Oryzias latipes: one gene and its partners. The protein of the gene in region 1 purifies or fractionates together with the protein of each later gene. This does not show direct contact. Links are inferred from orthologs where the notes say so. Each region holds a gene or a part of one and is shown in the gene's direction. Other genes may lie near its edges.

The links.
Region 2: the proteins of ap1g1 (region 1) and ap1m2 purify together in Homo sapiens (affinity purification with mass spectrometry; 4 studies listed by BioGRID and IntAct, counting the BioPlex papers as one, with this or other methods). This does not show direct contact. The link is inferred for Oryzias latipes from reciprocal best matches to the Homo sapiens genes AP1G1 and AP1M2.
Region 3: the proteins of ap1g1 (region 1) and ap2m1 purify together in Homo sapiens (affinity purification with mass spectrometry; 3 studies listed by BioGRID and IntAct, counting the BioPlex papers as one, with this or other methods). This does not show direct contact. The link is inferred for Oryzias latipes from reciprocal best matches to the Homo sapiens genes AP1G1 and AP2M1.

Annotation. Positions count from the first base shown.
Region 1 is NC_019861.2:21,112,433-21,116,083, reverse strand, and holds part of ap1g1 (AP-1 complex subunit gamma-1), read left to right. Parts: intron 1-3,143; 5' UTR 3,144-3,146; coding exon 3,147-3,347; intron 3,348-3,447; coding exon 3,448-3,572; intron 3,573-3,651. UniProt on the Homo sapiens protein: Subunit of clathrin-associated adaptor protein complex 1 that plays a role in protein sorting in the late-Golgi/trans-Golgi network (TGN) and/or endosomes.
Region 2 is NC_019859.2:10,449,786-10,453,992, reverse strand, and holds the start of ap1m2 (AP-1 complex subunit mu-2), read left to right. Parts: upstream 1-1,403; 5' UTR 1,404-1,559; coding exon 1,560-1,601; intron 1,602-4,207. UniProt on the Homo sapiens protein: Subunit of clathrin-associated adaptor protein complex 1 that plays a role in protein sorting in the trans-Golgi network (TGN) and endosomes.
Region 3 is NC_019875.2:21,533,950-21,538,146, forward strand, and holds the start of ap2m1 (AP-2 complex subunit mu), read left to right. Parts: upstream 1-1,389; 5' UTR 1,390-1,604; intron 1,605-3,914; 5' UTR 3,915-3,962; coding exon 3,963-4,036; intron 4,037-4,197. Other genes in the region: dvl3 (segment polarity protein dishevelled homolog DVL-3), read left to right, coding at 1-62.

The DNA of each region.
Region 1 (3,651 bases):
TTTAGATGAACCTTTTCAAGTCCATTTGTCCTGCAACTGGACTTGTGTAAAAGTGTTTGAGAGATCAAATAGATTAAAGGTGCAGGGCTCGACATAGCCATTTGTCCGCTGGCCCGGTCCTGTTTTTCGAGCAGTACGGACCACAAGACTTTATTTTTTACTTGTCCGCTCGGGCCACTAAAATATCTAACAATTAATACATTTTTCACCCTTTTCAATAAAGTATATTTTGCGAAAACGTGTAGATTTACCTCGTCTTTATAATTCACTTTTTCTGCTAGTCCTGTGTTCAGACTTCAAGGGTTTCTATGGGAAACCTTTTATCACTCTTCTCCTCTTCTCCCGCCTGCGCGCGCGGCTGTCACTGCCGAGCACCACGCGGCACGCGCTCACTCAATTTTTTTTTCAAACTTTATTGAATGTAACAATTCAATACTAAACAATGTTAAACAGCAACAACGAAGGAACAAGCCAGTGGGTTATTATTACATTTTATGCAGATATATTTAAACTGACACACATATCAGCGCGCGCCCCCTGGTGGTTTTTCACCGCGATGATCATAAATCCAACACCGTCACTGAAGAGAGACTGAAGCATGTCAGAGATGTGGAAGACATGGCAGGAATAGATAGGAATATGTTAGATGGAGTGACGGGTGGAATTAGTGCTATGAACAGCAAGATATTTAATGAATGCATTGAAGATGAAACTGTATGCACTAAGCTTTAAGCTGAATGTCAAAGAATCAAAGGCAACTCCAAATACCTGAATCTCAGACTCAAATGCAGTATAATGTCTAAGTACTTCATTTTGATTTTCTTTACAACACTGTAAGCAGTAAGTATTTCTAGTTAGCTGAATGATCTCAGTAATTTAATTTAGTTTTTCAATTATTTAATTTAATTAACTAAAGTAACTAAAAAGTAAATGTAACTTTGCAACAGTAACAAAAAGCAGAACCTTAAGGCAGTCAGAGCAAAAAAGTCAATAAAACTGCTTAACTATTGATTAGGAACAAATGTGAAATAGCAGTGATTAGAAGCAGCATGAAAACTTCTTAACTAGTGTTAACTACTTCACTGCAGCGCTCTCTTCAAAACATCTGAAACAGACTAGAGCAGATTTAAGTTTAATATGCTCTATTTTTAGTCATTGAAAAGTGTATAAATAAGTGCTAGATGTCACCAGAATGCACCAAATTGCACCATATTAAAATTTTCCGGGGGGGGGGATGCCCCCGGACCCCCCTAAAGTTGCAAGCACCTGCAGAGCGGCGGGTCTCGCTGTGCGCGGTGTCGGGCCAGTAACTTTCAAAAACTACTGGCCCTGTGGGCCAGTGCAAATTTTTGGGCTATGTCAACCCCTGAGGTGTTATGTAAATTGAGTCTTTTTTGGATTTTTAACAATAGCTGCCTCATTACCATCACAATGATGTTAAAATGTTGCCTTAATTTCCCCCTTTTTTAAACTTGTTTTACTTCCTTGTTCACTTGAACATTTCTGTGGTTCTTGTTTTCTAACAATACTGTAGTCACCACTTTTTAATTTCTAAATATTGAAAGTCTTACCTGCGATTGGGATGGTGTATTTTTACAAGACTTTTTGCACCAAAAGGAAAAAAAAAACATGCATACTATGCAGGACAAAAGTAATCATTAGTCATGTCATATGACCTACTGGAAAAAGTGAACACTGACCTCTGCTAGTAAAAGTCACTTGCAACTAGAGCTGGGCGATAATAAAATGCAATAAAATCTAAGATTTTTTTCATTACAAATTTAATTTTCTATTTTAATCGAAAAAATTTTCTCTGCTTTTACGTTCTTTAACTAAAATGACAGATGGGAGATATTTAACAAAAACTTTTATTTTAAAATCTCCTTTGGAATTTGGCTCTAACACAAAGTTCAGCTAAACACAAAGCTGTAAAAATGTTTGCAGATCAATGCAGCAGATGTTTTGTGAGCTGCCGCTGGCTTGTGCATCACTAGAATGCACTCGGCAGAGCATTTTTGGTAGAAACGGCCTTGAAACGGATATAGCTGTGTTTGATGCTCCAAGTTTGAAGTTACAACCCCAGTGACCAAAATCTCATTTTTGACTCATCAGACAAGTTGGCTGGTAGATAATGAAAAAATCTATCAACCAAATTATTCCATTATTTTGCAAAAAAAATAATTATAGGTGTTGTTTAAAAGAAAATTGATATTACCTTTAATGTGACCAGAGAGCAAGTCACAACGTAATGAAAACATCAGATAAAAATAACATTTTTTTCCTAAGGATTTCCTGTATTGATTTTGTAATCAATCTTTGCTCTCTGCTTATGAAATATTTTATTTTTAATCATAAATTAGTTGTTTCTGTTTTCTTGCTCTCCCCATGAGAAGAGGGGTTTTAGTCAGTCACCTGTAGTCTGAACCAAATGTAAAGTCAGATTCAGACCTGCTTAGAAAACAAGGACAGATTTACTAAAGGGGAGCAGATTTACAGAAAAATCACCCTTTTCCCTTATCTTGTTGTTCCCCTAAATAAATAGTCTAAAACAACACATTTGAATTAATTGATTAAATCTATGAATCACACAGCCCTGCTTTGTACATGTGTATAGATGGACAAATGCAGTTCGATATGTTAATCTCTGATGATATTATTTTAGTGCTTTAGAATAAATTGTAAAAAGATATTTATTTTTCTGACGTGCTGCTTTACTCTGCAGCCCAACTTATCTTTCTTCTTACTAAACACTGCTGCTGTTCTCCGGATGTCTTAGTATGAAACCAAAAGTGTTGTTGCAGTTGTGCGCCAACATTTCATAGTAGTTTACCTGAATCATAAATACAAACATTACCCATTACTTGTTTACTTCAAAAACATTGCAACTTGTCCATGCTCTTTATTTTGAACTGGGTTTGTCACAGTTAAAGTTGACAGAAGTCTGTTCCATTTAGACCTTAGCTATGTTCTAAGACAATAATGTAATGTTTACTGTTTTTTTATTTGGCGGTCAATACATATCTATGCCAAAAAATGTTGAAATTAAACCTATAAAAAGAGGATTTGTCTAATGCCCTGCATCTTATGTCATCTAGCCTTTAACCATGAGGTGCCTCTTATCTTTTTTTGTGTGTGTTTGGCAGAACATGCCAGCTCCGATCAGACTGCGGGAGCTGATCCGAACCATCCGGACAGCACGGACCCAGGCAGAGGAGCGCGAGATGATCCAGAAGGAGTGTGCTGCTATTCGCTCTTCTTTTAGAGAGGAAGACAATACGTATCGTTGCAGAAATGTGGCAAAGCTGCTGTATATGCATATGTTGGGCTACCCAGCACACTTTGGACAGGTGTGTAAGATAAAGGCAGCAGAGGAACTGAGAGGGGCAGCTTTTTAGGTACCGCTGGGTTTTCTGAACATGTTCTGTCATTTGTTTGTTTGTCTTTTAGCTGGAGTGTCTGAAGTTAATTGCGTCTCAGAAGTTCACAGACAAACGAATAGGCTATTTGGGAGCTATGCTGCTGTTAGATGAAAGACAAGATGTTCATTTACTAATGACAAACTGCATTAAGAAGTAAGTACATTTTAGACTTGGCTTATAGTTTAGGTGTTTAGAATAAAGAAAACTCTATTTTAGTGCTTGTTGACAATGA
Region 2 (4,207 bases), on another chromosome or scaffold:
CTGAAGTAGACAGTTTAATCTCGTCCAAAGTCTTCCACAAACTTTTTAGCCTCATCCACAGAGTTGAACATGACACGGGTGCCATCCGTTTTGATGATGCGTAACCGTGCTGGGTAAAGCAGAGAGGGCCGCAAGCCTTTCTGATACATGTCCGACATCACAGTTTTATAAACTTTCCTCTGTTCCACCACCTCAGGGCTGTAGTCTTCATATACTCGGAAAGCCATTTCCTGGTATTTCTAATATTAGCTTTTTATTTGATTAATTCAGCAATATTTTACATTGATTAAAAAAGACTTTTTATTAACTTATCCTTTAATGCTTTAGATTACCCAAAGTGAGCGTTTATTCCTGATACTTGGCGTGGCGTAAAACTATTTTTTTTTCAAGTAATTGCATGCATGCTTTGCTAATTTGTGCACACAAAATGCTCATTTATGTGCACAAAATGGATACAAAATGTTAATTTGTGAACAGAAAATGCTAATTTGTGTTCACAAAATCTAAATTTGTGTTGGCAAAATGCTAATATGTGCGCTGAAAATAATAATTTGTGCCTATATGATACAAAATATGAATTTGTTCACTGAAAAAATACTCATTTGTACCCACCAATTGCAAATTAGGGTACACAAAAAACAAATATGCCTGCATTATATACTATTTTATATCCACAAAATTCTAATTTGTTCCAAAAAAAATTCTAAAAAAAATGTTTATTTGAGTACTAAAAATATTTTTGTGTATTTGTGGCGAATAGTTTAAGGGAGCAAATTTATCATATTTTTTAGATTAAAAAAGATGAAATTGTAAAGAAGCCCCAAACGTAGTTTTTTTTCAAGGTTATATTAGGCAGAGAAGATAACTAAAATTAAATTAAACAAAAAATCAAAAAACAAAAATCAAAACATATCTTTATAACAAGCTTAAGTGTCAAACAAACACCCCCCCCCCCCCAAAAAAAAAATCTTAAATGTCGTTTTAGTTAACTTTTTGTATATTTTTTCCTATATATCTTTTGATATATTTGAAGGATTTTATACACATTTCCAGATTAATGAAAAATAGATTGAAAATGGGGTTTCTTTTCAGGAATCTTTGTTTGGTAGAAGGATTCCAATTGTATCATCTCTAGAGCCACGGGAACTTCTTTAGCTCCAACCAGTTTTGCAGTTATGCATGTAAAATGTTTGTGTTTTGGTACAGACCAACAATAAATGGTCTATTGTGTCATATAAAGAGCATAGTTAAGTCTAAATGTATGAATGACATTCGTCCTGAACAGAGTTGTTGACCTGATTTTCCAACTCTGCTTCGGTGGCGCCCTCTTGTGGTCAAGTTGCTCAGCACAGCCTCTTCGGGTCCACGCGTTCAGGTGAGGTTAATGTTTCACCTGCGTGACCACGTCACGACATTCTCAGAGGTGAAAAAAAAACTGCCTCGGCGGACTGCTCTCCCACTTATGGTTTTCTCTGGGGTTTGATAGCGAAAGGGAAGACGGAACCACCGTAAGCTGAAAGTTGTTTGCTTATTAGTGAAGAGTTGCAGGTTCGAGCACGATGTCCGCCTCAGCTATTTTTGTGTTGGACCTGAAGGGAAAGGTAAAGATCGTCACCGGGGGTTAAGTTATTACTCTCGTTTTAACGGACAACACGCACATTTATGTCTTTATCTATTTATTTATGACATCGAAGCAACTTTTGAACCGACTTCAGGTCATTTTCCTCAGCCATTAAACATTCATGTATTCGTTAAAATGTAATGACGCGCGTGCGTCGGGATCATTATTCATTCACGGCTTCTTTCCACTTCCGGTTTTTAGCGGCTGCTACTCGGTGCGCAGCTGGCGCAGCATCTGCAGGGCGCCTGCGGGTGTGGGTGGGAGCCTCGCAAAGGCTTAAAGAAGATCGAGTGTGTTAAAGGGGGCGTCTGACGCCAAGATCATGAAGGAGTTGTGTGACATGCAATCCTGTCGGAGCGTTTCTCCTGCCTCCTCAGAGACCCGCAGCAGGTTTTCAGTTTTGCTGCTGCGTGTGTGGGGTGGGGGGTGGGGGGCAGGTGTCAAGTTTAGGGCTGCTTTGCATAGTGGAACTGGGAAATGTGAAAGCCATTGTTCTCAAAATAAAAGGAAGCTGCTTTGGTCTGCTTCAAAGTCTGATTTAGCAGTCCTGGACTGCAGGGATCATATCGTTTTCGTGACTCTTCTTCTTTTTACTGCACCTTGGAGCAAAAATGTTGCCCCCGCCACATGCTCATAATCTCCTTAAAATTTACTTGCACCTTGTAAATGCATGTAAATTAATTAATGGGCATAGTAAAGCATTTCCCCCCACCAAAAAAAAAAAGAGATGACAGTGTGCGAAAGTGTCTAATGGGGCCAAAATCTTATTTGAGGCTCAAAAAATATTTCTATATCCACTAACAAAGCACACCTGTGGGGGATACCCAAAGGAAGTTTTGAAAGTATTGTGGGATGGCCACAAGACCTACGACTTGGCGGCCATTATCGCACAATATGAGTAAAAATTTTCACACACCCCACTACAGCTCTGTCCGAATTCCCACCCTAATCCCTAACTACTAAAACACTATATAGTACTGGACTATGTAGTGCCCTGGATTTTAAAAGCAATTCGGACACCATGCTTACTACTTTTCTTTTCTTTTCTTTTCTTTTTTTATGGCGAATATGTTGTCATGGATTTCACGAAGTTAAAATATAATTGAAATGATCGTTTTGTGAATGCACTGTCTTATGAATACAAAAACGTTGATGGTTTATTAAAAAAATACATTTAAATACAATTTTTTTGGGCAAAAATTGTTCCTACGCAACACATTGTTGTCTATATTCACCAATCTAGTGACCATCGATGCACACTGGTTTTTCGCAGAGGCTTCTGTGAAATTCCTAAAGCACTTGATTTTTGTATTGAAGATTCAGACAACACTACAAAATGGTGAACGTACTATATAGTGAACTATATAGTGAGTAGTAAAGGAGTTCGGACACAACCTAAGTCTGCAACTCCACCGAAGTTTCGTTGACCTTTGACCTGTGGCACAGGCCGCCTTCTTGAATTTTCTTTAAAAAAAATCACCTTTTAAAAATAAAAAGTCCTAGAAATTTTCCTATTTTCCTATTTTCATTCTTAACTCCTCAAGCATCATTAGGAAGCCATTTGAAAAATCAAAAAAGTTGATTTTAAAGTTTGTAGATTCTGAACAGCATTAGCATAGTGAGCTTACAAATGTAGAAATTTAATTCAAGAATTTTTGGCTGAACGAAACGACGTAACATACAAAATCAACAAATTAGGAATGTTGACGTGGTTTACAAACAAACAAACAAAAAAACTCAGTTGCCAAGGAAAACCAAAAGTTTACTTTCGCAGATTCTTTTAAATATAACACAGATCTGTTCATCACCCCCAGGCAGACCCAAAAATTATATGGTTGCTATGGAGATAAAACTAACAAAAAAGCCGTCATTCTAAAAAAGGTGTTTTTTCGTAAATTTGCCACGCGCAGCGCTGACCACGGTGGCAAAGGCAGAGGGGATGAGTGAGGGTCATGTAGCAGCTGGTCAGCCACTACGGCGAGCGTGGGAACTGCCTGCAGGCCATGCAATGATGTTTGCAGCCTTTATTTGTGATGTTTTTTTTCAATTTGCTCTTTTTTTTTGGTGTGGGTCAAGATGCCAAAACAGGAAATCAATCTATACAAAAATATGCCATATTCTAAACTAAGTGCATTTGCAGGACTCCATAAGTAGCATGCTTTATGTGTTGCAAAGGTAGAATTATTCCTGTTGCCTCCTTTGTGAGCATATTCTAATGAACAATAGTTTTAAAACTTATGAAGATGTTGTAAAAATATTTCCAGAAAAGTTGCACGCCGATATTTTGAAGTAAAGCTTTTGTAATTGGTCTCCGAGTAGAGACATGAACCCTACTGACCTATGATTCGTGCCCAAGACTTCCCTGAAGAGTTTGAAAAAAGTTTAGGAATCAAAAATACAATTTTGTCCAGCTTCGTCAGCTGGTTGGTCATCTAACAGTTTTTTGCGTTGGCTATTTTTTTTAATGAAAAATAGGTTTACATGATACCAATCAAAGCTTTCCTATCCCACATATTTTATTCCGAACATGGCTTGTCAGACTTGTCTTTTATCCCCAACCGACAGCGTTTTGTGCTTTTCTACTTT
Region 3 (4,197 bases), on another chromosome or scaffold:
CGCGCCAGTCTCTGCGTATGGCAGTGGGAAATGCTGGAGAGTTCTTTGTCGATGTGATGTGACTGTAGCCTTCTGTTGGAGAAGAAAGTATTAGATTGGACTTTATCAAATAACAAGGCTGAGAAGGACAGCGTGACATTGTGGGAGTGGGAGATTAACAAGTTGGAAACTATGGCCTTGATTTCACTTTCCTTTATAGCAGTCCATTTTTTGCATGCCAAAAGAAAAACCTTCACCTCATTTGTGCTTCTGTTCTTAGTCATTTAGTTATAAGCGTCATACTTTCTTCAGTGAAGAAACAAAGCCTGGAACCAAAGCGCCTTTCACAGCCTCTGCTCCATGCGGGGAGACGTTTTGTGCAAGGACAACAAACAAGAGAACGGAGGGAGGCTTGGAAACGATCTGCTGGGGAAGAGGATGAAGTGCTTTAGCTTCCAGATGTTTTCTAATGTGTTCTGCTGTTTTCTATTTCTTCCAACCTCTCATCTGCCTTCCTGATCTGACACTACATGTCCTCATAGTGTACATCAGAAATGAGAAAAAGAGCCTTTTTCCTCCCTCTCTTGTTTGTGCACCTAAATTCTGACCTCAACCGAAGAAACTGAGCAGAAGTTTAAAAGAACTCAACCTGAGTCAGATCTTTGAATTGTTTAACACAAATGGAAAAAAAGTAGTGCAGGAGAATTTTTTTTTTTGCAGTAATGATGCATTTGTGTTATAATATTCATCATTTTCTAACCCTTAACCTCAGCGTTTAGCTCTATAGTCATTTTTACACAACACCTCAGCTGCTTTACCAGAAAATCATCAACCTGTTTTGTATAGTAGAAAATGTTTCTTATCAGACTTTTCACACTACTCTTTTACTGAGAAAGAAATGTCTTTTTTATTTATAAAGATAGTTTTATGATATATCTGTGTGTTTGTGTGGTGTTTTTGTGCGCACTAAAGAAACTGGTCAGATAAATTCCGTCATTCTGAGATATTTAAGGTCATGATTGCATTTCAAAGCAGTGAATTTAAGACTTCAGGTGAATAAACAAATGATATAATGAAGGTTGAACAAAAGCAGATTTAAAAACATTACACAGAAAAGTACGAATATATTATGAGTGAAAAACTTTTAACTTTTATAATCAACTATATAAATTTATATATTGCTCATTATTTGAGATCAATTTGTTTATAAATTGCAGGCGATTATTGACCAACAATTGTTTTTGACTTAAAATGGTCGAAATCAAAGTAAAAAAATATCTTTGGGTCTTTTTGGTGCGATTGATTGGGAACATTCCTCAAGGCTTGGCCTATCGCTTTATTTTATAAACTAGTTTGAAAATACACATTTCTAACTACATTGGATGAACAGCTCGTGTAGTTTCTCAACTGCTAGGCAGGCCTGGGCGCGGTTAACACCCAGCCATCGTACTGGCCGCGCCTTTTCTTCCTGTCAGCGGAACAGGCGTGCGTAAGGACGGCGAGTCAGCTGACAGTTATCGGGGGACCGGGGCAGCGGGTGTGTGAGCAGAGATTCTGCTCTGCAGACGTTATATTTAAGACCAGGCGGGAAGGGAAAAACTCCTGGTGTTGGTGAGAGGACCAAGGTAAGTTGACAAATTTGTCGTTGTATCCGGAACGAAACGATTAGCTAGAACCCAGTGACTCGCGAAAAGCAGGTCAGCGCTTTCCCCTCTATGCTAACGTTAGCAGCTATTTGCCTAGCTAACGTCAAGCTAGCAGGAGTTAGCCACACGATAACAGAAATGAAGTAATTTCCATTTTGTGGAAACGCTGAAACTGCCGCGTGTGCATGAGATGTTTAAAACACATTTGTCGAACGAGCGACATTGATTGTTTTAACAAACACGTAACCGTTTTGTGTAGAAAACCTGTCAAGTCGCAGAATTGTAGTACTTGTGACCGGATATTCCGTTTGAAAATTCGCCATGCACGACGGTATTTCACTGGAAGCCATCGCCTGCTAACCCGCTATCGCTAGCTAAATTAGCTTAAATTAGCAGTCTGCTTTTACCGAAGAACAAACACTCGGCTGTGTTGCGTCCACGTAACTGTTTAAACAAAACGTTACTGGTAAACTTGGCCCTTGCTTTTCTACAAACATTTGAAATGTATGACTGTATGAAAATGGCCCCAGTGAGTGAGCAGACATCTTGACTTCGCCAGAAAAAAGAGGCGATTAAATCTCTTCAGGTTTTGTGCGGATGGTTAAGTCACGACTTAGCGGTGTTTAAGCGGAAAACATGCTGCTAATCCTGCAGCTAACGTGTCAAGTCTCCCATAGTGTCGGTTTTTCGATGTTTGGATTTTCTGCTCGAGGAATTTGAAATGTCCTTCATGGTTTCCAGAAGGTTCATTCTTATCATCAAGGAGAGAAAAAAGGAGGGACAGAGAGAAATTCCTGTCTCCAGCAGCCCTTAAGTTACTTTTTGTATTTTTTTAAACCTTAAACTGCTACTTCTGTTTTTTTTTTTTTTTTTTTTTTTTTTTTTTATCTAAATTAAATTGATGAGCATTTGTATTCGGCTAAGTGACACATCAAAGACCCACTCCAATTAAAATTGTGTTTTTAACATGTTCTTGACTTGTGGCACTTTTCTGATTATAGAGGACGTACATTAAGAAAATTGAGCTTAAAATTGTGTTTGAGTATTTCTATATTCAAATTGCTGTGAATCAGGAGCAGACGAAAAAACTCCATTGGAAAATGCTCATAGCAGGGAAGTAGGTGCTGCAATCATTGGGCCACAAGCTCTGTACTCCGCTACATTTTGATGCATCCACTTGCAGACTAATAGATCCATCCATGCATGTCTGCATTTTCCTCGCCTGAACTGATATCTGGCTCAACACTGGACAGCTGGACAGCTCCAAAAGTGCTCGCCGTTTTTATTGCTCCAATAATTGGGTTGGAGGTGTGAATAGCTGTAAGCTAGCGGGAGGGCATTAAAACAGATGGATAGAGGCAACTTGGAAACAAACTACCCATAACAGCTCCTAATCTTCTTCTTCTATCTAATATGTCACTGGAGGAAAAGAACTGCCGTTTCATTAGTATGGAGATCCATTGCCTCATCAAGTCAGCGTGTTGGATATGTGTGTGCATCTTTTTGCTTCCTTCGAGTCCGAATGGAAGAAGTGCAGCTGCAGGAATTAGTCAGCTGGCAAAAGGGAAACGAGGATGAGAGAGAAAAGAGGATGTGAGGGACAAATGTGTCTCTGTGTCACCAGCGGTGACTCCCTCACTTTCACTTCTCCTGGCTAATTTTTAATCCTCCATGTCAGTAGTTTTCAGGTAGATACTCAATATGACTATGGATGGAGGCTTAAAACCAACTTTATATTCAAAAAGGATGCATTTTTCTTGTAAAATTACAACTTTGCTCTCATAATTTTACGACTTTGTTCTTGTAAATGTTGATTTTTTTTTTTTGTTGTACTTAATTTTTATTTACTTGTATGGGGCCTTAATATTTTGTTGTAGATATGTACCCCAAAAAGGTACTAGATTTAAATACATGTTTGTATTTTTCAATCATGCATATGAAGATCCCAGCAAAAATGATCACAACAAAAAATGAGATCTTTAACACAAGGTGAATATGTATAAGAAGTAAAACACATTGTGTGGTATTATTCTTTACTACACCAACAATTTTTTCTTCCTTTTTTGATACACAAATCACATTTCTTCATTTAATTTTTATTTTGTATAAATTTAGTGCTTTGTAAAAAAAACTATATTTATAAACTCTGTTTTAAAGATTTTATTGATTCATTGAAGATTTTCCATAAATAAAATATATTCTGAGAGTTACACCTTTGTGAGGGGGGGGGGGGGGGGGGGAAGCTTGGGGACCACTGCCTTCATGTCGTTCCTTTCTGTTTTTTGCCAGGTGGTGTTTGGTTTCATCATGGCAAGGTGTGTTTGAGAGGCAGCCACAATGATTGGAGGACTGTTTATCTACAACCACAAGGGGGAGGTCCTGATCTCCCGTGTCTACCGAGATGACATAGGGTATGTTTGACACGAACTAACCTTCTGTAAGTCTCCTCAAGTTGTGGAAGACTTCAGTTCAATGGAACTATCTGGATCCTGCGTTGGAGGGCTAGCTGGAGTTGATCTCCTCGATGAGAGGATTATGTCACCACATCCAGCTAAAATCATGTCTGCTTGTG